3 linked regions of the Caenorhabditis elegans genome follow. The protein of the gene in region 1 purifies or fractionates together with the protein of each later gene. This does not show direct contact. Each region holds a gene or a part of one and is shown on either strand. Other genes may lie near its edges. The genes, in order: mog-5, mif-4 and T05B9.1.

Region 1 (14,210 bases):
GACGACTATTGATTTTTTGACTCAAAACTTTAGAACTTCCAGCCAATAGAGTAGTCATTTGAGATATTCCACATTTTTCCATCATCTGCTTCACATCTTCTCCCATTCTGAACAATGACAAATTCAACGCATTTGCAGCAATATTCGGCTTGACTCTTTCATTAGGATCTCGCTTGAGTAGGTCAAAAATGACATCTCGTGCCACAAAATTGACACGAGATGGGAGTGCTGGTAGTTCTGATTCCTGGTATGTTGCAGTATCAAGAAGTTTGTAGAATGGATTTGATCGTGTTAGAACTTCATAAGAAAGGCCTCCAGCTGCCCATGTATCTGCCATTTCGAAGTTTACTTTTCTGTAAAAACTTTGATTATATACAGTACTCTAAACTTCAAAACATACACATTCTTTCCAGGAACAGCCGTCGCAATTTCTGGTGCTTTTGTCTTGGCATTTCCTCCAAGACTAACTTCATCTGATTCATAGTCTACTTGCCAATTGTCACATGCAAGTGCACATCCAAAATCGGCGACAACTAATTGGGGAATCTCGTCGTCAAAATCATATTCCAGAAGAATATTATCACTTTTCATGTCTCGCTGAGCAACTTTATGCTTATGAAGATATGTACATGCTTCTAATAGTTGAGCAATTATCACTCGTCCTGTCCAATAATTTCGATGACGAGTCCATACATATTCATGAAGTGTTTGTCGGTATCGTCTCATTACTACGTACATTGTTTTCGGTTCGGAGGCAATTGACTCATACCAACGTGCAGTGTGAAGGGCATCTGGATATCTGGAAAATCTTATTCTCAATCATTATCAATAAATTTCAAAGCTAACCGTTCAATCGCATCTGGCAAAACTTTTAACGAATCAATAAAAGCTGTCTGAATTCGAACAACATTTGGATGTTTTGCTGGAAGAGGTCTAAATGTTCCCATTTGTCCATTGAGCAACTTTGCAGCATTCGGATATGGAGCCAATTCATTTCCCATTGATTTCAAGAGATGAGCATCTCCATCGCGATCATGTTCAAAATTAAACATTAATTTGATTGCCAACGGGAATTTCTGCAATGATTTTTCAATATTAATCATCGAATTAAGATTATCAACTACCTTTTGTGCAACTTTGCTAACTGGCGGAATTTCTGCAAGTATATTTGTGACTTCATTAAACCCTGCACCATAGTGAGTATTCCCTGAGGATTCTGCATCAGAATTGGCTAATCTCGCAGAGTAAACTGCTGCATTGCATCCTTGACCGAGAAATTCCCCTGAAAACTCAAACAATGGAGAAATATCACTGAAAAAAGCATACCAAACTCATAAGAATCAATTCTATTCGGCCATTCAGTGCTTTTCAAATCCTCATTGTATCGTAGAGAATTGCCAAATATCTGCCTGATTCGTTCGACTAAATCCACATTTCTTGGCAATTCTTTACGAATCGGTTGAAACTTTCGACGCCAATCATTTTGATTTTGAAATCGATGTCTTTCGATTATTACTGAGGAAAATGGCCGGAAAACTCGACCGTGGCGAGTTACAAGGCGAGCCTGAAAGGAATTCAATTTTAATTTTTTTTTGTTGAATTTTCATAAACTTACAATTCGTAGAGCATTTTGTCGTGGAAATGGAGCCTTTTTGAGTACGACATGAACTCCTAAATTATAAGTGGCGGGAAATATTCTCGGCAGGAAGCGTTGGAAAATTGGTAGTCGTCCACCTTTTGCAACTAACTAAAAAATTTCAATTTAACGATTATAAAAAAGAACGATTTTGAAGATACCTCATTTGCGATTCGATATGCTGCTTTTCCGAATCGTTTCATAGACATTCTTACTTCTATACACTGAAAATATTATAAGTATTATAATTTAATATAATTTTTTGGTTTTTTAAGAGAAAAACGACAAAATTCCGAGAGAAAAAAATATTTTGAATTTAAAAAAATTCGAAAAAGCATCACTTTTTCTCATAATGTTTAAAATTGAAACAAATATCAAAGAACGGTTGAAAACCCGTAATTTTTTCAAAACGGGTCTCTAAGAAATCGAAAATTTCATTAGACTAGTTACAAAAAAAATGACAAGAAAAATGCTGAAAATGACAAAAAATGTTATTATCAATAAATAAGAACCTATAATTGCAATAAAACGGATGAAATTGTTTCCTTCGTTCGATAAAATTCTGAAGCTTTAATCCTTAATAAGCCCGAGGCTTCTTGCTTCTTTTTCAGCCCATTCCGCCAATTTTCCATCGTCTGTAATTGGTGATTCTTCTTCTCCACAGACAGCATCAATGTAGAAACTTCCTGAAAATTTTTGAATAATAGTTTTTAAAGAACTAAATTAATCTTAAAACATACTTTGTGCGGTCAATGCTTCAAATTCATCATCCGAGCCTTCAGCGTCTGACGCTGATCCTCCAATGGCAAACTTGGATGACGAACATTGGCTTGTCTGCATCGTGACAATCGTGGAATAATCGGAAAAGTCGACGACTACTCTTGATCCTCGAACTGACAACTTTGAAGCATCAGCGGCAGTTCCACCGACAACGAGGGTGATTGGTGGAAGCTAAATTTTATTTTTAATTTTATCCATTTCCTCCTAACGAACCTTTGGTCCTGATGGGAATGCTTTGATAAACTGTTGAATCGAGTCATTTGATACTAAAATTGAACCACTTAGATCCACGTGGCGGATATTTGGCATTCTAAGCTTCGCACGCACACCATCATCACCAAGATATGTGCAATTTCTCAGTTGAATAATTTCCAACTTTTTCAGTGAGCCCAGTTGCTCTAAAACTTTTGAATTGACAGCTGCCAGCGACGATGCATCAAGCTGAGTCAGTTCTTTTAGATTTTTAATCGCTGAAACTCCTTCTGCAGTGATCGACGAATCGTTTCCAGCGTTAGCAAGACTGAGTGATGAAAGAAGCGGTAGACCAGCTGATATTGAGATAAGAAGCTCATCATTAACAAGAGCGTTGTAGTCAAGGCTGAAACATTGATAAATATAATTTTAATCATAGGTTCAGATGGAACTTACGCCAATTCTGTAATATTTCTCATGTGACTAATATGAATCAATCCGGCTGACGTTAAACTTTTGAATCCATCCCCACATAATGTTAAGATTGAAAGATCTTCCATTCTTCTAGCGATCATACTCAGATTCTCATCTGTGATTTTATAGCATTCATTGATCCGTAATTCTTTGAGACCTCCACAACTGGTGCATAAATCTTCAAAAGCCATCTCATCTACTTTTGATGATCCATCCAAATATAAACTTTCCAGTTGTGACCCGAATAATTTGAATGATCGTCCGTGGAGCCGTTTTGAATTTCGTAAATCCACAAATTTAAGTGAATGACCACAGTTTTTAAGTAAAAAGTAGAATGCCTTGTCTCCAGTTGTTTCCATTCCTCTATAAGATAGCTGTTCTAAATGTGAAAGTGATTCTCCAAGTTCTTCGAGAGCTTCAGCCTGAGCATGAGTTCCACTAATATCAAGATCAACTAAATTCGGACAGCATGTTGCGATGACTTTAAGTGCTCGGCGATCATCAAGAAGATGCACAATTCCAGAAACATCAAGTGACCTCAAGTGTGCACCAGCACGAGTAAGAATCGCCTGAAATTTTTTATTTTTTATTAACTTTTTAAAACTAATTTTTTTAAATTTCAGCTCAAACTCATTTTAAGATGACTTGTTCTCATTGGTCGTTGCTTGTTGAATACAGTTTCTCTTGCCAATGCAATTTTATTGACAAGTTCCCAGGATTTAATTGATTCTTCCATGAACTTTTTATTAACTCGTTCCAATCGAATTGTTTCGTGAATTGGTAAAAATGAGATGACCCTTCTAAGAATTTTATCCGGGACGTTTCCCAAATTGAATGATTGCTCGGATCCTGAAGCTAACGACTGTGTAGATGAAGCACGGGACAATGGAGTATCTTCACGACTTCCAACATCATCACTGAGCACGAGACCTTTACCTCCACGTTTTTTCGATACATACTACAAGATAAATTGGTTTAAAAATTAAATCCCAAATCAAAAACTTACAGCTGAGACAACCATAACTTGATCATAAAACTTCAACTCTTCAGGATTCGCATTTTTCGCGCGATCAGCATGCTCAGACTTTCTGCAAAAATTGTATTATTAAAAAGACCTGAACAAACCAAAAAAATTTAAATTATACTTAAAAGTAATAGTAGCAGTTCCACAATTTCTGGAATGCTTTGGAAGTGTTCCGAACACTGATGTCTTTTTCTCTTCGCGAGGCAGAATGCAGCTGGTTATCTGGAAATTTAATTTTAAAATTTTATATTTAAATGATAATTAAAACAACACACTTTTCCATATTGAGAAAAGAAGGATTGAAGCTGTGATTGGGTGACTTTAGCAGAAATATTCGAAACCACGATTTTTCGATCATCACGAGAAGTATGTTGGAAAGCGATAGATGCATCGAAATCTGAAAAAAAAAACAATTATTGATTTTTTTTCCAAATTTTAAGATTTATTACCGTCTGTTTCTCCTCCATCAAATGCATCTCCATCGGCGAGTAACATTGGTAAAAGTCGTCGATATTTCATAAACTCTGCGGCAGAGTGGGACCAAGTTCGCCTGAAAATATTTTAATTTTAATTTAGAAAAAACCAGAGCTAAAATGTTGATATTACCTCAATTTTCCAATACTGAAAAACCGTGCCCTTGTGACAAATGACTGAAATGCTTCAGTCATATCATGAAGCCCTCGGCTCTCCAAGTTCTGTCCATGAAGCCGGCGGAGTGCTTTGAACATACTCTGAAAAATTGAAAATGTGTGAAAAAAACGTTTTTTCGAGAGAAAAGATAACAGAACCATATGATTTGATTTGGCTACTGTTCCCTAGTGTTTTCTTATCACATTAACATTTATTTGGTAGACAAAAAATCGAATTGTGTTCTCTAACCTGTTGTGATTTAGCACTTCCAGCGCTCCCGAGGTTCGATGTGAAGCTTCGATTGAAATCCATTTTTTAGGTTTAACTGTTTTCTGAAATTGAAACATTAATAATAAATTTGAAAACAATTTTGATCGATTTTCACTAGTCGTTGTTCGGAGGAGGAATGGCGCATGTTTACCAGTGAGTCGGGTTAGAGATTATACGGAAGTGAAGAGACGCAGAAAACGGGACATTCGGATGCTTGGGGACACATTGGTCACTATGAAACGTTCAAAAGCACCAATTCAAAGAAAATCTAGAAAATTTGCAGTTTTTGAACAGCTTTTAAATTTAAAATCATGCTTTAAAAGACCTTGTTTTTTGTTAACTTTGAAGGCAAAGGGTATTTGCAATAACGATTTTACATTAACACAAACTTATATATCCATTTTTGGAAATACTAAAATAAATTCAAAAAAACACAATGAAACATATTTACAAACGAAATGAAAGCCGGCAGCTTCAATAAAATAAAAAATAATTGTTGAAAAAATATAATTAAAGAAAGCTGCACACTGTGCGGCACAATTGCGAAAAAGCGGGCCGCAGTTTGCATGAAAGACCACGCCCACTATTTTAGATTTCGAATTTGTTTTTTTACTCTAATTTTCTATTGTTCGAGTTTTTCGGAATTAAAACTGCTTTAAAGAATTATTTTATTAAATTTTTTATCTGTAAATTTCAGGATGGACCAGCTTGAGCACCTCTCACTTGTGAGCAAGGTCCTCAGTGAAGTTGAGAACCATTTTGGTGTCGTCGAAAAAGATGTCGCTGAGTTTGTTATTCATTTGGCTCAAGAGAATCCAACATTTGATAAACTGAAAAAGGCTTTGGATAGTCAGGGACTTGGGGATCAGGTATGTTGAAATATGAGAAAATTTAACGACTAAATTATTTTTTTAAAGGAAATTTCAAAATTATTTTAATTCAAGGTGTTTTAAAATATTTTGATGAATATCAAATATCGAGATTTAAAAAAAACATTATTCGTCTCATAAATATAAAAGTCTCGATATTCCTCTCTTTAATTCTAAATTTCAGTTTGATGATTCCCTCACTGCGACCATACTTCGTATAGTACAAAGCATGACTGCTGTTAAAAAGAAAAACAAGAAAGGTGGTGATTCAAAAGAAGATATCAAGGATTCACACAAAATTACATTGATTTCTGATGCAAAAGAAGAAATTAAAGCACGACTTCCAGCTCTAGCGATGGCAAATACTGCGAAAGAAAAGGAAGATAATGAAGATGATCTTATGGCTCAGTTAGAAAAGATGGAAGGCCGATATGAAAGTGAGGTACGTATCTTTGATATTTGAAATTTGTTAAAATAAATTTTCCATTTACAGAAACGTCTTCAAAAGGAATCAGATTCAAAACGAAACCGTTCAAGAAGTCGATCAAGGAGTCGTGATCGAAAACGAAGAAGAAGTCGTAGTGGTGACAGGGATCGTCGGAGACGTAGTAGGAGTCGTGAAGACAGAAGAGATCGAGATAGGAGGGATCGGGACAGAGACAGAGACAGAGGACGTGGGGATCGAAGAGGAGACGACAGACAAAGAGATCGGCGTGATCGACGAGATGATGGTGGTGCTAGAAAATCCGAAGTTGCAGAAATCGGAAAAATCTACGATGGTCGTGTAAACAGTATTCAATCGTTCGGAGCTTTCATCACACTGGAAGGTTTCCGTCAAAAACAAGAAGGACTTGTTCACATCTCCCAAATTCGAAATGAACGAGTTCAAACCGTCGCAGATGTTTTGAAAAGAGGAGAAAATGTCAAAGTTAAAGTTAATAAGATTGAAAATGGAAAAATCTCGTTGTCAATGAAAGAAGTCGATCAGAATAGTGGAGAAGATTTGAATCCACGCGAGACCGACCTGAATCCGGATGCAATCGGAGTTCGTCCACGGACACCGCCAGCATCAACTTCCTCGTGGATGAATCCTGAAGCAAGTGGAGTAGGACAAGGTCCTTCGACCTCAATTGGTGGTGGAAAGGCGAGAGTTCGAATTTCGACACCTGAACGGTGGGAATTAAGACAAATGCAAGGAGCCGGAGTTCTCACAGCCACAGATATGCCTGATTTTGATGAAGAAATGGGAGTTCTAAGAAATTATGATGGTGAGTATTTTATTTATGATCTAGTAATTAATGATAAATTTGAAAAAAAAATTATTTTCTCTTGAAAATCACTAAATTATTTTTGAATTCCGCGCAAATGGTGCTTTATTTTGCTTACCGTATTTCCTCTATTAGTCTTGCACCCCTACGGGTCAATCTAAAATTAGTCTTGCAGCCTCTATTAGTATTGCATGCAAGACTAATAGAGAACATACGGTATTAGTCTTGCACCCCTATTCTTGCCAGACCAGCAGTATTTTGTGAAAACTTCAACAATTTCGCCATTTTATAGCTAAATTAAATTTTAAAGTGTTAAAATAATTGATAAAACAATAGAAAAGTATGTATTTTGCATGATTTAGACTGTTTCAAGTCAAATTTGTGACGATAAATGGCCAATTGAACAAATCTATCGGGTCTTCGAAAATTAGTCTTGCAGCCTCTAATAGTCTTGCAGTCTCTATTAGTCTTGCACCCCTACGGGTCAATCGAAAATTAGTCTTGCATGCAAGACTAATAGAGGAAATACGGTATATGATTTTTTAAAAATAATTTATATTTAAAAAAAAAACTGCAAAATTTTTTTAATTGAAAACAATTTCAATTTCTCTTGAAAATGACTAAAAATGATGTTTTACAGACATTTTTCCTTAAAAATTGACAGTAATTTATCGTTTTTAAGCCGATTTTTTATTTTCAACAAAATTTAAATTTGGTTTTCTTTACTGAAAAATGCCAAAGTATGACAAAAGATGCATCGGAGAATAAATATCGAATTTAGCCTGAAAAATGCGAATACTTTACAATTACGGCAATAATTTTCCCGGGAATTCAAATAAAATTAAAAATTAAGCAAGATTGAAAAAAAAACATGAAAAAAATGATGGTATAAAATTTATGATTTAATAATTTATCAAGAAAAATTGTAAAATTTTTTGAATTAAAACAAATTAATTTTTCCTGAAAATGACTAAATTGTTTTTGAATTCGCGCACGCAGACATTTTTCCTCAAAAATCGACACTAATTTATCGTTTTTAAGACGATTTTTTAGTTTCAACAGACAAGCCAAAATATGACAAAAGTTGCATATATCAAAGGAAAAATTTCGAATTTAGCAGGAAAATGCGAAAAATTACAAGGAAATGATTTTCCCGATAATTCAAAGACAATTTTTAAAAAAGCTAAATTTAAAAAAAAATCATTAAATATTTAAAATAAAGTTTCTATCATTTAAAGCACAACAATTTTTCAATTTTCAGATGAAAGTGATGGCGAGGATATTGAAATCGAGCTTGTCGAAGACGAACCTGACTTTTTACGTGGATATGGAAAAGGCGGTGCAGAAATAGAACCTGTAAAAGTTGTCAAAAATCCGGATGGTTCATTAGCTCAAGCAGCTTTAATGCAAGGTGCTCTTTCAAAAGAACGAAAAGAAACGAAAATTCAAGCACAACGAGAGCGTGATATGGATACACAGAAAGGATTCAGTTCAAATGCTCGAATTCTTGATCCTATGTCTGGAAATCAGTCGACTGCGTGGAGTGCTGATGAGTCAAAGGATCGGAATAATAAAATGAAAGAAATGCCAGAATGGTTGAAACATGTGACAGCTGGTGGAAAAGCGACTTATGGAAGAAGAACCAATTTGAGTATGGTTGAGCAGAGAGAAAGTCTTCCGATCTTTGCGTTGAAAAAGAATCTGATGGAAGCAATGATTGATAATCAAATTCTTGTCGTTGTTGGAGAAACTGGATCAGGAAAGACTACTCAGATGACACAATATGCAATTGAAGCTGGACTTGGAAGACGTGGTAAAATTGGATGTACCCAGCCTCGTCGTGTTGCAGCAATGTCCGTAGCAAAGCGTGTGGCAGAAGAGTACGGTTGTAAGCTGGGAACTGATGTTGGATATACAATTCGTTTCGAAGATTGTACAAGTCAAGATACTATTATCAAGTACATGACGGATGGTATGCTTCTGAGAGAATGTCTTATTGATCCTGATCTTTCTGGATATTCGTTGATTATGCTTGATGAGGCTCACGAACGTACAATTCATACGGATGTCTTGTTTGGATTATTGAAAGCTGCTGCTAGAAAACGTCCGGAACTGAAGCTGATTATCACTAGTGCCACCTTGGATTCAGTTAAATTTTCAGAGTATTTCCTGGAAGCTCCGATCTTTACAATTCCTGGAAGAACATTCCCCGTTGAGATCCTGTACACAAGAGAACCAGAATCAGATTACCTTGAAGCTGCACATATTACTGTAATGCAAATTCATTTGACTGAGCCACCTGGTGATGTTCTTGTGTTTTTGACTGGACAAGAAGAAATTGATACATCGTGTGAAGTTTTATATGAACGAATGAAATCAATGGGACCTGATGTGCCGGAGCTGATTATTCTTCCTGTCTACGGAGCTCTTCCAAGTGAAATGCAAACAAGAATCTTTGATCCAGCTCCTGCCGGAAAGCGAAAAGTTGTTATTGCTACGAATATTGCCGAAACTTCTTTGACAATTGATGGAATTTTCTATGTCGTTGATCCAGGATTTGTGAAACAGAAGATTTACAATCCGAAAAGTGGAATGGATTCCTTGGTAAGCATTTATGCACCCGTCAGGGATTTCACGAAAAAATTCGACCAAAAAACAAGACAAAAAACGAAAAAAAAATTTCAAAAAACACGAAAAGCGGCTAAAAAAACGAAAAAAAAAATCAATTTTTACCAGAAAGTTCAAAAACCAGGAGAACAAGTTTTTTCGAAGACGAAAAACGAAAAAATAATATTTTGCCAAAAACAAAAAAAACTCGGATTTCTTTTTAAAAAAAACTTTTTTTTTTTGGTTTTTGTCTTAAAAAAAACGAAGAAAAAAATCCATTTTTACCAGAGAGACCAAAAACAAGAAAAAAAATTTTGTTCGAAGCGAAACAATTTATTTCGCCAAAAACAGGAAAAAACTGAAATTTTATATTTTTGAAATGTTTGAAACGAAAATTCTTATTATTTCAAGAATAAATATTTGTAGAGTTATATTTAATTTTGAGTGTAATGTTTTGTGAAAAAAAGTGGAATAAATATTTTTTCGCCTTTTTTTAACAAATTTTTTTTCGAAAAAGTGAATCATACATTTTTCGCCTTTTTTCATAAATTTTGATTCGAAAAAAAAGTGAAAAAAAAATGTTTTCACCAGAAACTGAAAATGATGCAATAAAATTCAATATTGTTTGCAATTAGACGAATTAAAATTATTAGCTACTCAAAATAAGATAATTTTTTTCGAGATATTAAAAAACAATTTTCTGATAAATAAGAACGAAAATACAATATAAATTTCAGGTTGTCACCCCAATCTCACAAGCCGCAGCAAAGCAACGATCAGGACGTGCAGGACGTACGGGACCTGGAAAATGCTATCGTCTCTACACAGAACGTGCATTCCGTGATGAGATGCTTCCGACACCTGTTCCAGAAATTCAGCGAACAAATTTGGCGTCAACACTTCTTCAGCTTAAAGCTATGGGAATCAATAATTTGATTGATTTTGATTTCATGGATGCTCCACCTCTGGATTCAATGATTACTGCTCTCAATACACTTCACACGCTTTCAGCACTTGATGGAGATGGTCTTCTCACGAAACTTGGTCGTCGAATGGCTGAATTTCCATTGGAACCATCACTTTCCAAATTGTTGATCATGTCTGTCGATCTGGGATGCTCAGAAGAAGTTCTTACGATTGTGGCAATGCTCAATGTGCAAAACATTTTCTATCGACCTAAAGAAAAACAGGATCATGCTGACCAGAAGAAGGCGAAATTCCATCAACCAGAAGGAGATCATTTGACACTTCTAGCGGTTTACAATTCATGGAAAAACCATCATTTCTCACAACCATGGTGTTTCGAAAATTTCATTCAAGTGAGAAGTATGAAGAGAGCTCAGGACATTCGTAAGCAATTACTCGGAATCATGGATCGTCATAAACTTCTGATGGTCAGTTGTGGACGGGATGTATCGAGAGTTCAGAAGGCTATTTGCTCTGGATTCTTCCGAAATGCTGCAAAACGTGATCCACAGGAAGGATATCGAACATTGACTGATGGACAGAATGTTTATATTCATCCATCATCAGCATGTTTCCAACAACAACCAGAATGGGTTGTATATCATGAACTCGTCATGACAACTAAGGAATATATGAGAGAAGTAAGTTTATTTCAATTTTATATACGGAAAAGTACTGTAGGCGGAAAACACAAAAATGTCGAAACTAGGCCATTATGCTCCCTTTTGAAATATTTTCAAAATTTGAAAAAAAAATACAAAGTTTAGAGAAATTATATACATTTTTAAAATTCATATTTGGCATATGGAGACTTTATTCTTTCATTTAGGGCCAAAAACTATTTAAGTCTAAATAAGAAATTAAATAAAAACCTAATTTTCAATTTCCAGGTCACCGCAATCGATCCAAAATGGCTTGTTGAATTTGCACCGTCATTCTTCAAAATCGGAGATTCTACCAAATTATCAACATTCAAACGAAACCAGAAAATCGATCCGTTGTTCGACAAGTATGCAGATGCAAATGCCTGGCGTATCACACGTGTCAAGAAGAGGATATACAATCCCAACAAATAATCAGTCTCCTGTGTTTCTTATCGTTTTTTTATTTTTTAATATTTAAGTTATTCATTTTTGCTTCTTTTTCTGATGTCAGTTCTTTGTTTTCTGTCTGTAGAGTAAATACGAGTACACTTGTTTTGTTTTTGAATAACCTCATTTATTATCATTTAAACATTCAAAATATACCATCATTAGAATTAGAAGTGTTTAGGATGGGAGGACTCCGCAAAGAGCACCGAAGTTCCAGTAGGCGGTGTTGGTTGGCTCATTTGGAGCCTTGTCCATGTTGCAGTAGATATCGTTGAATTTATTGTTACGGTTGAGCATATTGTATGGATTATCCCCTGGTCCTGTGAGCGCTGGGTAGACGGTAAATTGTATACATTGTTCGATGTCACTGGAAAATCAATTGATAAATCACAATTTCTCTAAGCCTTTTTTTGGGAGAAAAAGTTGAAAAGAGGGGCCAGCTGGCCTAGTTTCTCACTTTCAAAGTTTTTGGCAATTTGCCAAAAAATTTGAAAATATTCAAAGCAATGTCGCATGTTCCGACACTTAGAATGTTTTAACACGAATAACTAAACTAAAATTAAAGTATAAAAATGTAGGAAAAATAATTTTTTTGGTCGCCTTCCAAATTTATGAGCAGCAAAAAAAGCTTGACACCGTGTGCTTCAAGTTATATACCGCATATTCGACTTTGACAGCTAATAATCTCGTGATTTTTTGTTTTTGTAGAAAAACTTTAACTGAGAACATATTTTTAAATCTTTTTCTATACTTAATGTTTTTGAATTGTCTTAATATCTTCAAAAACATTCGAGAGCCGCACTAATAGAGATTTTATTTATTGTTGCACATTTTTGAATAAACTTACTATGTCCAAGCATTTGCAGATGGCTCATTTGTAGCCCATTTAGACCAAGTAAAACCTGGTGAGGTATGCTTATCAACCATTACGAATGAATTTGTACCATTGCATTCCTCACTGTCAAGAATTCCTCGATCTCTTGAAACACATGCTGCAATACGTCTTCCGTCGACAGCAATAGCGCCACGAGTTGCCGGTCCAACACGATCGAACTGTTGTGCCATTTGTAAAGAGAACACATTGAGCTCCTCCTCGTTGGCGAAGGTAGTTACAACTGCTTCAGTGTTAGAAGCCTGGCAAAGAGCAGATGCATTATTGATCGGCATTGGTTGTCTTGGGGACCATATCAATTGCATGCACCATTCAGAAGTGAACGAGTTGTCAGCAGCAGGAGTACGAAGGAAGCTTGTGTATCCTTGTGGACAAACTTTTACCTTGGTAGTTGTTGGTTCAGGTGTGGTGGTCGTGGTGGTGGTGGTGGTTGTGGTAGGAGTTGTAGTGGTGGTAGTAGTAGTTGTTGTGGTAGTTGTAGGAGTTGATGTGGAAGTTGATGGAGTACTCGTGGACTTTGGTGGCTTTGTCGTACAGTCATCATCATTGTGATGTCCTCCATGGTACGATGATGGTGGACGATGTCCTCCGCTTCCATATCCTGAAGTTTTAGTGAGATTCAATGAATAGTTATTTCAGCTGGTTGAGGTATTTTCCTTTTTACCCAGGTAAGAATTTTTTTTGAGGATTTTTTTATGTATTTTGATATTCATCTTTTGAACAAAATATGAAGTTCTCGCGTTGAAAATCATAAGACACGGAGCGTGCTGGGAGGAGATGAAAAATTGTGTACTTCTCGTGGGTACGATAGCTGTAAAGTGTCGGTCGTTTCGAGACCGGGCACCTGTGTCATATAGTTAATGATGGCTAGATTGCTTCTTGGGGATGGGTCTTGCCACGAATTTGGTTTAAATTCATTTTCGCTTCAAGACCCTAACGTACGAACTACAAATATTTGTGGTAATCCTATAGTTGTGCTTCTCACTAAACTGTAGATAAAACTCTAAGACTCACCTGGTCTGATAATGGCTTCAACCGACATTGAAGCCAAAAAGAGGCCAAAAGCAATGAGAAGTGTTGATGAGGAGCGCATGTTTGAATACCTTGAATTTCCGGCAGGCTTTATTGTCCCGAAACGGTTAGGTTTTGGTTTTTGCGGGGGGCTTTTAGTGTTATTATTTGAACTGAAACAATACGTTTTGCAGGAACGATAGAGCAGAGATTGCAAGGTGTTGATGTATCGGTTAAAAAAGTGAACGGTTAAGATCAGAAGATCGGAATTAGAAGTAGAGTCAGTGGGGGAAGTTATTGAAACCCACTTCTTTTAGTTTGAAATGACTAAATACCATAGTAAAAGTTTTCAAATATTTTTTTGAAATTGTTTATTCACATTTGAAAAATTGCCAAAACCTCACTTTTCATCAGTCAAATTTTGAAAGTCGAACAAAAATTTTTCTGCGAGTTTTATGTTTTAAATGCTTATGTTTAAAGAACTTTAAACATTCTAGAGG
Region 2 (3,148 bases), on another chromosome or scaffold:
AAATTGTTGCTGAGGATCCAGGTGGTGCACTTGCTCCGCCTGAAAAAAATTCAATTTTTCATATTTCTGTTGAAAATAGACTTTCGAAATCAGAAAAAATTGTACCTTGTGTATTTGAACTGCTAAAAAATGGTCGTTCTGGTGTTAAACCATCAATTGTACTCGGATGTCGGCGGAGCAGTGGAAGGGATGTTCGATGGATCAGTGTACTTGTGGTAGCCATATCTAAAAAAGGTAATAATTATTTATTACTCGGAAGTGAAATTTTACGATTTTTGCGCCAGATATACGGTAGCCGGTCTCGCCACGAACAATTTTAGTTAAATGCGACAAGGTCTCGGTTGTTGCGGAATTTTTATAGAATTTCATAGTTTTTTAGACAAAAAACACTTTTATTTATGTTTAAAACAACTCAAATATAACAATAAAACGCATGAATTCCAACAAATCGATGCTACAGTAATCTTTAAAGGCACACGTCTTTTCACATTTCCTATGCTTGTCGTGTCGAGACCGTGTGCCGTATTTCTGGCGCAAAAAACAACAAAATTTCGCTTTTGAACAATAATTAAATAAAAAAGAAATTTAAAAAATGAGACGTGGGAATTGTATACGGTTAATTTCAAAGAATTCACGGGAAAATTCATTGAAAAAATTCAAATCTCAGAAAAAAAGTGAAGAGTGAACAGTTTTAGAAACCTTGTCAGTTTGGAAAACTACGTGATAACTCAAAAGAACGGAAGAAAGTTTCTCACTTTTCCGTGTCTCTCTGTAATCTCTTGACAAAGCCCACTATTTCAGGCCATCAGAGAACAGGGTCGGGAGGATCACGCCACTCGTTTCAACACTCAGTAGTCCACAGCTTGCACTACCCACATTGTTTCTCCGTCTGCGTATCCACGTCTTATGTTGTCTCTCGCATTGTCTTTCTATTTCTGAGTCTCTTGCACCTCTCTGTCATCATGCATATATACAATTGAAATGGAAAGGACAGACTGCACTAAACCGAAAAGCACGTGGTCTTGTCTGGGAGGAGAAGAATGTTGAAGACAAATCACACGACAACGTGATATGTGACGTCACAGAGGGGAGTCCCCACGTGACAGGTACTTTAATGAGACAGAGAAAGTTCGAAATGTTGAGTCACGAATCGCGAACGGAATTGAGCCGAGTGGAAAAAAAGAGTTGGAAATTTCGAGATGAGCAGCCAGCTGATTTAGTCTACAGTAATCTAGAATAACTAAACAAAAGTTTTTGAACCTATTCCAGCTTTATGAGTCATGAAAAATGGAGCGCAGCAATAAAAATATGGTGTACGAATTTCAGGAAATACTTCTCGTTAACAAAGATAGTTTGAAACTACAGTACTGTTCAAAGCGCTGACATGGTTGTGTCTAAGAAAAATTGTCGTACCGAGACCTGGTACCGTATTATTATAGCAAAAATCGCGAAAATCTGCATCTGAATAATATCAACTACATAACTGAGATCGTGGCGAGACCCTAATGAAATTACGATAATATAAATAATATTGATTCAAAACTGTGATTCTTGCTTCTAGTTGTTGCAACACATTCTGATCTGTGTCTCCCTAACCTACTTCCGATTTTCACCAAAAAAACCGTGTGCCCAACCCAAAATTCAAGGTCAAACTTATTTCCATTTCCCCGTACTAATTGTTTCCATGTCATCCCATTTCTGTCCATCCTGCGCACATAACATTGACAAATGGAGTTGTGTATTTATTGTCGAGTGCACGCTCTTTTCTTCGAGCGACATGTTTTCTCAGCTGGCTGAGCATTTTTTCCCGTTGGTTTTTATGTTGCGAAACGACAATTTCTCTTTTTTTTAAAATATTTTCAAGCCGAATTTCAAAATTTTAGAATTAAAATGCAAGTTGTTCGAATTCAAACCAACATCCGAAGTGCTGATATTCCAGAAAAGTTTGAAGTAAGTTTGCATAAAACGAAATTTCTAATTTCTAATATTTTCAGCAAGATGTGATCTACAATTTATCAGTTGTAATGGAATTACCAGCTGATAAATTCGTGATTATTGTTGAGCCGGCAGTTAGAATGAGAATTGGATTTGAGAATAAAGAAATTCCAGTTGCAATTGTAAATGTGCGTTTTTTTTTATTTTGAAAAAATATTAGGCTTGGGTCTTGTCACGTGTAAAATTTTTCAGCTACAGTAACCTGTGTATTTTTCAAAATCTGAAAACTTTTTTATAATTAAAATTTTTTTAATCGAGAAGAAATGTGTGAAAAATAGAAAAACTAACTAGATTCATAAAATATAAGTTAATTTTATGAGAAAAATATTTTTAACTAAAAAGTGATAGAATACCGGGGTACGGTAGCTGACAAGTTTTGGACGTGCCGGGACCAGAGACCGTGTTTTTTTTTTTTGAAAATGTCAACTCGTTGAAAATTAAGAATAACAATTTTCAGTTCCAAACAACCCGGCCTTCTTCTCGAATCGAAAATGACTCATATGCAAAAAAATTGACATCAGTGCTCAATGAGCAGTTGAAGCTTGATCCCGCCCATATTTTCATATCATTTGATTTTAAAGATGCAAAAAGTTTTGCAACTCAAGGGAAGACAATTGCTTCTTTGTATGAATAAATTTGTAAAAAAGTTGAAACGCATGGATTTAACAATGAAGTAAACATCTGAAAACATCGAAAAAAACAAGACAAAGCATAATTCATAAGTTATTTTATAGCAAAAGGGAGGGAGCAAAATTAGCATTAATGAGAAATAGAAACTTTGACAAGAAAATGTAAAAATAAGTTATGCTGAATATAATGACTAGAGTTACATAAATTATTGAACGGAATGTGAATAAGAAATCACACATTAATTTAGTTACAGAAAAGCTGGAAATAGTTTGAGATTGAGCTGGCTTATTGGCTTTGCTGTTGGATGTTGGTGAGCTTGGATTCTGAAATTAAAAATCTTTGAATTTTTTCTTGAAAGGCTTAACCTACCGAGTTGGGTAACATAATTTTCAAGAACAGCGGTAGCTTCCTCCAATCTCCGGGTGCTCTCATCCATAGCATCAATTTGGGAAAGATATGGACGCAGATTCTCGTCTGGAAAATAATCTTTCATAAATTTTCCGAAATAAATAATAAAGGCATA
Region 3 (9,765 bases), 5.9 Mb from region 1:
GGGGGGCCCAATCCCTTGGTAACCCCCGCAAAATCTTGATTTTTGTTGATGAAATTGCTCTATTGTCATTTTGCAGCCAAAGGGAAGTGCTTCAACACTCAAATTGGAATGAGTATCGAAGGTGGGAACTATCGAAGGATACGAAATTTCGTGGATCGAGAGTGAGTTTTTTTTACTAAATTCCTTTGACTAGGTTCAAAGTTGAAAATAAATTTTTTTGTCATTCTAGAGCATACTAAAACTACAAAAGTCATATGACACATTTTTGACATCCTTGTTTTGAACTTGAGAATTCTAAATTTTCATCCAGAAGCTTCTAAATTTAAATTCACACGAGAGGAGTGTCTTCTGATTATATCTCTCATTAACAATTCATAGAGGATTTTTCCGACGTCGGAATTGGATATCATATCAAAAATGTATATGTTGCAGATGTGCGAAAGAGTGCATCGAAGATTTCTCATGTTTTGGCTACGAATGGAATAGCGAAGAGAAGATATGCTATCTGAAATCACGGAGCACGTCTGGAAAGCTCATCGCTAAACCGAACACTATGGTCGGATTCTGCCAAGATGATGGTGAGAGGCTAGAGAAATTTGGAAGTGATTGCTAGAATGTAAACTTGTTTAGAAGATGAGGTACGGTATCGCCTTCAAGATCATGTAATAGTTGGTCCAATCGTGATGGAGGCTGATGATGTGCCAGATGGAGAAGAGTGCAAGGAAAACTGTCGGAAGGTCGGTGCATTGTACTACTCCTGGAGGCCCAACAGCGACAATCAACGGAGTAACGTTGTACCAGTAGAAGAAGAAGAAGATGATGAAGAACAAGAAGTTCTAGGTGAGTGCTGTATGGATGTTTGAAGAAATGTCAGAAAGATCTGTAGAGTCTAAGAATACAAAAATTAATATCGTTTAATATATTTATAACTATAAATCGGGAAATCCTGTTTTCTTTTTTTCAATTTCTAAAATTGGCTTTCCCTAAGCCTCCAAGTGTTCAGAGATTTATCTATCATATGTAAACCAAAAAGTGGGTGCTGATGTTGGTGGTCGACAAAATATATATCTTAAGTTTTGAAGAAAAAAACTAATTTTTTTAATTTTCAGGTCACTGTGAATGCATCAGCACGATGAACGAACTACGATTAGAATACGACGCGTTTTCCGGTTTCATCCCAATTCCAAAGCACAAACATCGACGAAGTATTTTACTGAGGCCTTTTGAAATATGATTTTAATCTTGTATTTAATTATGTTTAGCTATTAGTCGTTTAGATTTTGTAAGTATATAACAGTTTACGGGTTCGAATGCTCCAAAAATCTCAATTTTCTTGGTACTAAAACTCCTGTTTCGCTTGCTTTCGTTTCCCCCATTCATGTCCAATACCTTCATTTCACACTTTTCCCAACACACAATACGGGTAATAAGAATTTTTAAAACTATGTACCTCTATGAATTGCTTGATCAATGAATCAATTCGATTTTTACACTTTGTGTTTTATTTGCAGAACAGAAATCTCGTATTTTTAGTAAGTAACGAACACTCATTTATTTTTGAGTAAGTTAGTGTTCGTAAACTCAGTAGTCAGAAAAGGCGTTGTTTTGAAAGGTCGCCGCCAAGTGAGTGGGAGATGAATTTTGACTACTTACTTATATACACACATTCACAAGAAACCTCTTGACCCAAACACGGAAGTGAATTCTGGTCGATTCATAATAATAATGTAAGAAACAAAGCCCGAAGGAACAAAAGTTGTTTGCTACTATGTTTGCAACACCACATCACTTTGATCCCTTCAGAAACCTAGCATTATTAATCTCTCTCCTAGAATAAAAGATGGATAAGGAAGGATAGCGCCTGGTCATTTGATTTGATCTTTTCTGATTTATTCAGAAAAATAGGAACCAAAGATTTGGCTTAGGACATGTTGTAGGGGTTTCCCAACTTTTAGTAGACAGCGTGTTTGAGACTCAAGGAAAGTATAATCTAGGATGTACTACGTGAGTTTCTTCAAATTTTTTTCTGTGGGAACTTGAATAGTAGTATATCGCTTTGAAAACTGTTACGCAGACCAAGACTCAGAATGACAACCAGAAAAATTATATAAAATACAGAACTCCAAAGTAACCTGTGTGTATCTCTAACACGGCCTGTTGTTGATTTTCGCAACTTTAGTGAGAGAACCTTATGTTTTAGAACATGGTGCAACGATTCTAGAAACATACACACTTCTCTTCGGGGAGTACACTAATCGCGTAAATCGAGGCAAGGTTTCACATCCATTTTTTAAATATGAAACGGTTGGAAAGACCGTTACTATTTCCTTTGCTCAACCGGATAAGTATTAGATATCTTCCAAACCATTTTTCATTGGGCCAAAAATCAACCACTAATGAAAACTTCATGTTATTTACATTTTTCGGTTTCAGTTTAGGATTTCAACAAATTTCTAATTTCGTATTTAAATATTTCCTAATCCATAAGTAACATACTAGAGATATTCCAAAGCGTGGAAATATTTTAATCTCCATGTTTTGAGTGTCTTTTGCGGTTGTGTAATCATATACGTTCTGTTTTTAACTATTCTTGCATTGTGATTTATGGATAATGTTGATGAAGACGTAGGTCGTTTAGAATGTGGCTTCTTGCGTGGGTACTGTTTTACGTTTTTTATACCATCAATCCCTTTATCGACTACTTCCAGCAAAAATGAAGTCGGTGGTATCACCATCTGAAAAGCTCTCAGATAGTTGCAGCCGTACTCTATGGTTATCTTTGAAAACTGCGACAGTGTCTGCCAGGGGTTCCAAAGGTAAAGCATAGACACATTTGCTACACCAGAAAGCTGACAAGTATGTTCATGTTTTGTTTTTCCTGGTGTGAATGATCGTTTCACCACTACTGACGCATATTTCTGATCTTTTACCGAGAGACAAGGAACTCGTGATCGGATGGAACCAGGCCTCCGTGTCTGCTGAACAAGTGTTCACAAACTTATCCCGGATTTGTGAAAGCTGGTGTCCACAGGAAGGAAACTTGCGGAAATAGCCTGGTGGAACCTTTGAAATCTAGCAGCTTTATTAATGAACAATTGAACAGTGACGGTAAATGAGCAAGGTATGAGAAAATATAATAATGTGGTGGCAATTGGGCAGCCGATGAGGAGGTTGGGGGGTGCATTCACACTTCAAGTTATACAAAAAATCCTATCAATAAAAGGAAAAAGAAACGGGAAAGGTGAATTGAGTTGACGGATTGTGGGAATGTGAGTCTCATCTCAATAATGATGGTTTTCACATTCATCAAATGAGATACGTGGGTGTTTGGAAGAACGATCCGAGTGATCAGTTGAAAACGGCGATGTCCTCTGAAAACAAAAGCAATTCCTTCTCTTCGAAGATATCCGAAAACGATACCTGCGATCGTCTTTCGTCCCATCGACATGTGAACTCCAAGTGATAGACATAGCTTTTGTCACCTCCCTTATCCCAGCAGTTTGTGCATCTGCGACGCGAAAACATGCAATTTCTTCCACAAGTTGCAGATCCATCGGAGTTCGCTGGAAGTGCGCAAGATCTGCAGAGTCCTTTATCCTTGAAGCCTTCGTATCTTTTCGAATTTGTGTTGTAAATCGGACACGAATGAATTGTGTGCTCATCAGTCTCGCAGAGCATGCATCTTGAGAAAATCAACACCGGCACATTCCTCAGCTCGGGATTTTCTCGTGAATGTTTAACCATCGGGAATGAACGCAGTTCCTGACGAACATCTGGTGGTGGTGTCTGCGCGGCAATCGAGTTGTTTTGATATTGGCGAGCTTTCAAATCGGCAATTTCCTTTTCGTGTGCTTCAAAGAGCGATTGAAAGTGTGCCATTTGGAAATCCAGCTGAGCCTTGAGATCCAAGTTCTGTGACTTAAGTTCCTCCATAGATTCTTCAAGTTTCTTCCTGGACTTGGCATCATTTAGCTTGTCCTGGGTCAGTTCCTCAACTCCTTGCAATAATTGGGCAATCGCTTCTTTCATCGCCTCCAAATCCTCCTCCTTTTTGATTTTGCTGTTCGAACTGAAAGAAGATTTCGTAAACTCAGGAAGGTAAGTTGAAAATTAGATTAAGTACCTCGACAGTGACGCATCCGGTTTCGGATCTGCAGAACTTGAAGTGTTCATCTGAATCAAAATAGCCTTATGAATTAAACATATAATATATGGAACTTGAAGAATATTAAAATTCCATAAATTAAAAAAAGGAACAAAAGACTTCGTAAAAATCAGAATAAAATAAATTTTAGGGCAAGGTGATAAGAACGGAAAAGAGTGAAACGCGACGCATGAGGGGCGCGTCGCGTGCGCTGCGTGCTTGCGGACTAAACACTAAAGTCAGTGATTACCGTACCCTTAATTTTTAGAATCTCCAAAATTTGTGAAAAAACACGGAATTTCCACAAAATTTTGTGAAGTAAGAAAACACATTTTTGACCCATAAAATAACATAATTTTTTGTGTTTTTTTACAAAAACTCGGCCATCCGTTTGGTCACGTGATGTCAGAATGTCCCATTTCGGGTTGATCTACGTGAATTGCGGGAACTTAGACGCAGACTATTCTACTGATTTCGCATGGTTAAGAACGCACTGACGTCACATTTTTTGGGGAAAAAAATTCGCGCATTTTTTGTAGATCAAACCGTTATGGGACAGCCTGACACCAATTATACGGTAGGTCATTACCGGTAAACTTACAGAGTGGGGGGTGCCGTTTTTCCGTCAGTGCCGTCAATTTGTTTTGCTCTTACAAAAATATATATAAACCGAATTCCAATCTATTAATTCGTCAAATTCATTCCATTTCAATTCCAATTCCTAGCATATGTAGATATCCATAAAACATTTGTTTTGCAAATATCACTTCCGCAACCTGACATCATCAGACATTTTTCAAAGAAAAATCCGATGATTGAAATTCAAGATACTCCAGAAGACGTCATTGCTCCTTTTATCTGCAACTCTCGTCACCGCAAACTAATTTATTGAGGGTGGAAGCTATTGCATTTAGAAAAATGAGATTAAAGTGGAGAAGGTTGAAAAATAAACATGCCAGGAAATTCCTCAATTCAATTGCCTACCTGCTGCCTCTTTTTGCTTCTAAGGGACTAGAAATTAACTCGCATTAATGCTCTCCCACTCCTCCCTCACACTTCTTCCGGATTCATATACTTTGCTCAGAAGCTTTACTTGAAGGGGATTCTATTGGAATTTTTAAGATTTAGAGGATACTGTAAATTGCACGATGTTCAGAAACGTTCCAGTATATCATGATATTTCTACCGTGTGTTTACGGTCATCGTGTACTTCCCAAGGAGAGGTGTAGATTTTTTTTTTACAACCTTCGTTGTAGGCTAAACATTGAAATTATCAATTAATATCATTAAACAAAACTTCTAGTTTGCGAAAAATGTATGTCTTCTTTAATTTTAAAAAGACAAAAACATGTTCGTTTTAATTTATTTTTAAGATATTTTTTTTTTCAAAAAGTAAATCTGATCTCTAACATCCTGTAATTTATCCTATCCACCCTCGCTGCCTAATTAGCTCAATCCTGTGTTTTTTCCTTCAGACTTCCGTTATAATCCAGCTCAAAACCTCTAAAGCTTTCGTCGTTTCGGGTGAGCTGGAGCGGTCAAACCGAGTTGAACTCGGTGAGTAGAAAGAAATGGGATGCAATGTCCAATTGAGAGCGGAAGGTGAAAATATAAATCAGTTCCAGTTGGTTGGAGCCAACCAAGTTCAAAAAATGGCATCATTCGAAAAGTGTGCAAAGTTGAGTTTTTTCGTCGCAAACCAATGATTATGGTTGGAGGAAAGGGGGAGGTAAAGCTAATTTTGGAGCAGGCCCAGGATCGGCTCCCAGTGGAATAGAACATAAGTTCAAAGCGATTCCGAATTGTTTTTGAGTGTTTCAAGTTTTGAAGATAAACACAGAAAACAATTGTGTTCTGACTCTGAGCATTATCAACTTTGAAGCCATAGTTTTGAACTCCCAGTCGAGTGCCAAAGTACACAGATTGCACCGGAATCAAAAGATCAACAAGTCTAACAATATTTTCATCCAACCTTTAACCATGTTTTTCTTAAAGTTCTGGGAGGTTTTTGCAAGTTGATTCGATTTCAATAATTTCAAAAACATGCTCGACCAGAGTGAAAGAAGTGAAGTATAGTGTCAAAAATAACTGAAAGGGGTTCCCAAAGAAAAAAGGCTATACTTTCAGGAAATTCAGATTTTCAACAATTTCTTCCAGTTTTACAAAAATGAAGGCCAGTTGTATATACGTATAAATAAACTTACACTTTTCCGAGAAGAACAAAAGCTGAGTAAATCGGCGCTCAACTTTCTATAACTCTACCTACCGTAGCATAGGTCAAACTACATTCAAATTATTTTTCAACTCAAAACATTTTGTACCATAATCCCAATTATAATTTCAAAAAATTGCGTCATCTCGACACATGTTGTGATATGTCGGTTTTCGACGATACGACGGTGTTACTCAAAAAAAGTGTTCGAACAAAACAACAAATAAATTATTTGTTTTCATACTGATACTATTACGTTTAAATTAAGAGGGACTTGCAGTATTTGCGGCGGCGGGGGATAGAATTTTAATTTTTTTTTCCTTAAAAATGGATTGGTGGAGACAACAAAACTTCAGGAGTCCAAGGGAAATTTTTCAGGTTTGGTTTTTTTAACCCTAAATTGACAGGGTTACTGTAGTAGTTAAAGGCGCCAAACCTTAACTGGAAAACATTTTGTAAGCAGGACGAGAAGGTGTCGTTTTTTTGGGGAAATTTTAAAATTTACTTAATAGCACTGCTTCAGAAAATTTGTGCAGCCATGTGAAGAAAGTGACGTCGCATGTGACCATAACCGTTCAATAAATGTAATGCCATAAACAAAAGTACAAAAATTTTCAAATTAAGAACCGTTAGAAAAAAAACCAAAAAAAAAAAATAACCGGACCAAAATAAATAAATATTAAATTCAAAAACTCTGAAATTACCTAGGACATGCTATTTATAAATGTCTGATTTTCTAAAAATGGGTATTCTAAACCTAAACGTTCAGCAAAAGGAGATAATCGAATTTTGTCTGGAAATCAAAAAGAATATGCAAAGAAATGGGAAAAGGGGCATAAAGATCAATTGTGCCATGATTCACTGTGTCCGATGTTTGCTCCTTTTTTTCAGAACTTCCTGGTCTGGAAAAAGCGGCACCATACAGCAATGTTACCTTATAAGTCAAGGGAGCTGAAATTTGAAAGTACCAATTTTTTCAAATGCCAGCGCAAAAATGCTGATCCTCGCGCAATCGAAATTTTGACCAATAAGCGATACTGACCACACCCCATGCACATCGCTGATTGGTCGAAATAAAACTATTTGATATTTGATATTTTAATACTATAGTTTGTTAATTTTTAATCCTTCCGAACACAAAGCCCGCAAAACATGTTTTTGGTAATCCTCGTATCAACTACGTAGCATTTTTCAATACCTAGAACAGAAGAAAATTATAGTTTTAATTGTGTTATCCTGCATTACTACTCAGTTCAACAATTTTGCCAAAGATCCGCAAAACATCTCGTAATTCTCCCCCTTTGTAGCTTCTCCCCCGCGGACTACAATCTGATCCACTTCTGGAAAGTTATTTTCAAGGCATTTACATTTCTGACCGAATGACGTAGATTTTTGGAGTTTAAATAGCAAATACAACTTTAGTTCCGGATTACTATAGTAAATGGGGATATTTGTCGATTTTATAAAACAATTTCTGAAAACGTCACAGGTATAAGTAGGATTTTAATGTAATTTTGAAGGGGTTAAAATGTTTCAAATAGAAGAAAGAAAAAAGTGAAACCGAATTTTCAGGTTCAGCGCAAGACTGAGCTGGAGCATAAATTTGAGAATGATCCTATAACATTCGAATAAACTTAGGCCTAAACTTTAGGCTGATCCTGAGCATCAGCCTGAATTGAAAGTTGGTCTAAACCTAAGTCTTAGCCTAATAGTAAGCCTAAACCATCCCTTTTCTCTAAATACATTTCTCTCACTTGAACTTTTTCACATAAAACGGTCATTTCGTCCGTAGACACATAATCATTGGCATACAAACTTACTGTTTTGAGGGACACGAAGAAAAAAAAAAGAGAAAACTGAATGCAAACCAGTTCAAAGAATGCAGAATGAGGAATGAGTACGACAGTCAACACAATTCAGGCATCAATCAAAACACATTTATGGAAGAATTGAAAGAATTTGTCGCCTTTGAACACATGCTAATTTTAGAACACTTTTGTTTTTATTTTTTCTATTTTTCAAATTTTCAATGTAAAACCAAAGATTATTCAGTTACACATTTTGCACGTGAATTTTGAAATATTACTGCAAAGGTGTAATGTCCGGAAGTATAAAAAAAATGATGTGACGGGGCGAAAGATAACAAGACTAATAATTGAAAATCGGATGTTACGTAGTAGGTTCAGCCACTTGGTTGTTTGGTTTTGATTACAGATTAAGCTTTGGTTGAATTTAAGAAGACGGGTGACATTGGAAAAAAATCACAGTAGCTTAAAAAAAAAGCAAAAACTTCAAAGGAATATCTGTGGTTAACAGTTAACGATTTTTATCTCTTGTGAAGTTTTTTTTGTTAATTTTCGATAATTAAAATTAAAGGCCATTTCAGATTTTACCGAACTAGGTATTATACTTTTTGGAAAATTCTGGGAAAGATTCAGAAAAAATTTTGTATTAAAAAAAAGCGAATTTATTTTCAAAACTGTTAATGTGATATACATTATTATCATATTTTCCGTTGAAAATATTTCCGCTTATTCCTCCGCGGGTCAGTTCAATCTCGGGTCTCCCCCAAACAAACTAGTTATTATCGTTAGCTGCTTACATCATTTAGCATCGTTCTCTCACTTAGCGATCACGGAGATAACCACAGAGTACTGTTATCTTAACAACACATTTTGTGATGATAGTGCTGAAGCTTTAGGATTTTGTTTCGCAAAAAAGTGTTTTTTTTTTGTTGGTTTTCTGCGGGATATTTGCAGTTGGGAACAGAACTTGTTATTGAGATATGCTGATCGTAGTTATCAATTTTATCACTTATCATCACGGAATTATGTATCTTTGAAAAACAAACAATGAAGCCATTTTTAAGAGCAAAACGTCACGCATGTCTGGAGACGGTTTAGTCAAAATATTTATAATCTGAAACAAAAGTACATGTAAATTTCTTTTTTAGGCTCCTGGCAGGCATATAGAAATCGAAATGCACCTATCTAACCTACCATCCCAACTTTAGTAATATGTTCTCAAAATATCAGAGCAAAAAGCTCCGCACGAGTGCTCACATAGTTCCTTTCATGCACACATAGAAGTCAGAATACATATATGTCATCAAAAATTGAACAGTGACGTTTGTGCCAACTCATGCAACTTGGAGCTGCAAGTAGGTAAATTCAATAGTCTAAAATTTGATCCGGGCAGGTTCTGCGGAGATGAGTCGGGGGTTTTTTTACATTCTAGATTTTTTCTAAACTGCCCAAACTGATATACATACCGTAGGTACAAAAAATGTGTTGAATTAAAAAACTTCCTCCTCAAAGTTTGAAGCAACTTTTCCCGACAACAATTATTTTGTCAACAGAAACATAGTCCTCAGAACTCTCGTGTGAAATTTTAAAAAATCTAAGAAATT

What was found.
Region 2: the proteins of mog-5 (region 1) and mif-4 fractionate together in Caenorhabditis elegans (co-fractionation; one large-scale study listed by BioGRID). This does not show direct contact.
Region 3: the proteins of mog-5 (region 1) and T05B9.1 fractionate together in Caenorhabditis elegans (co-fractionation; one large-scale study listed by BioGRID). This does not show direct contact.

Annotation. Positions count from the first base shown.
Region 1 is NC_003280.10:5,393,835-5,408,044, forward strand, and holds mog-5 (putative pre-mRNA-splicing factor ATP-dependent RNA helicase mog-5), read left to right. Parts: upstream 1-5,703; 5' UTR 5,704-5,704; coding exon 5,705-5,875; intron 5,876-6,059; coding exon 6,060-6,317; intron 6,318-6,368; coding exon 6,369-7,143; intron 7,144-8,404; coding exon 8,405-9,747; intron 9,748-10,487; coding exon 10,488-11,357; intron 11,358-11,606; coding exon 11,607-11,792; 3' UTR 11,793-11,976; downstream 11,977-14,210. Other genes in the region: pink-1 (Serine/threonine-protein kinase pink-1, mitochondrial), read right to left, coding at 1-353, 401-799, 847-1,076, 1,125-1,282, 1,327-1,564, 1,616-1,747, 1,798-1,845; fbxl-3 (Putative RNA-binding protein EEED8.10), read right to left, coding at 2,207-2,322, 2,377-2,587, 2,630-3,014, 3,065-3,651, 3,717-4,040, 4,089-4,170, 4,228-4,328, 4,382-4,503 and 3 more; clec-141 (C-type lectin domain-containing protein 141), read right to left, coding at 11,985-12,174, 12,655-13,300, 13,714-13,792.
Region 2 is NC_003282.8:6,334,730-6,337,877, reverse strand, and holds mif-4 (Macrophage migration inhibitory factor), read left to right. Parts: upstream 1-1,883; 5' UTR 1,884-1,890; coding exon 1,891-1,950; intron 1,951-1,994; coding exon 1,995-2,123; intron 2,124-2,452; coding exon 2,453-2,629; 3' UTR 2,630-2,648; downstream 2,649-3,148. Other genes in the region: ipla-6 (PNPLA domain-containing protein), read right to left, coding at 1-39, 106-223; blos-2 (Biogenesis of lysosome-related organelles complex 1 subunit 2), read right to left, coding at 2,911-2,948, 2,995-3,099.
Region 3 is NC_003280.10:11,257,020-11,266,784, forward strand, and holds T05B9.1 (Nuclear receptor domain-containing protein), read right to left. Parts: upstream 4,174-9,765; coding exon 4,124-4,173; intron 4,070-4,123; coding exon 3,421-4,069; intron 3,372-3,420; coding exon 3,282-3,371; 3' UTR 3,068-3,281; downstream 1-3,067. Other genes in the region: T05B9.2 (Apple domain-containing protein), read left to right, coding at 77-161, 433-578, 631-840, 1,110-1,234.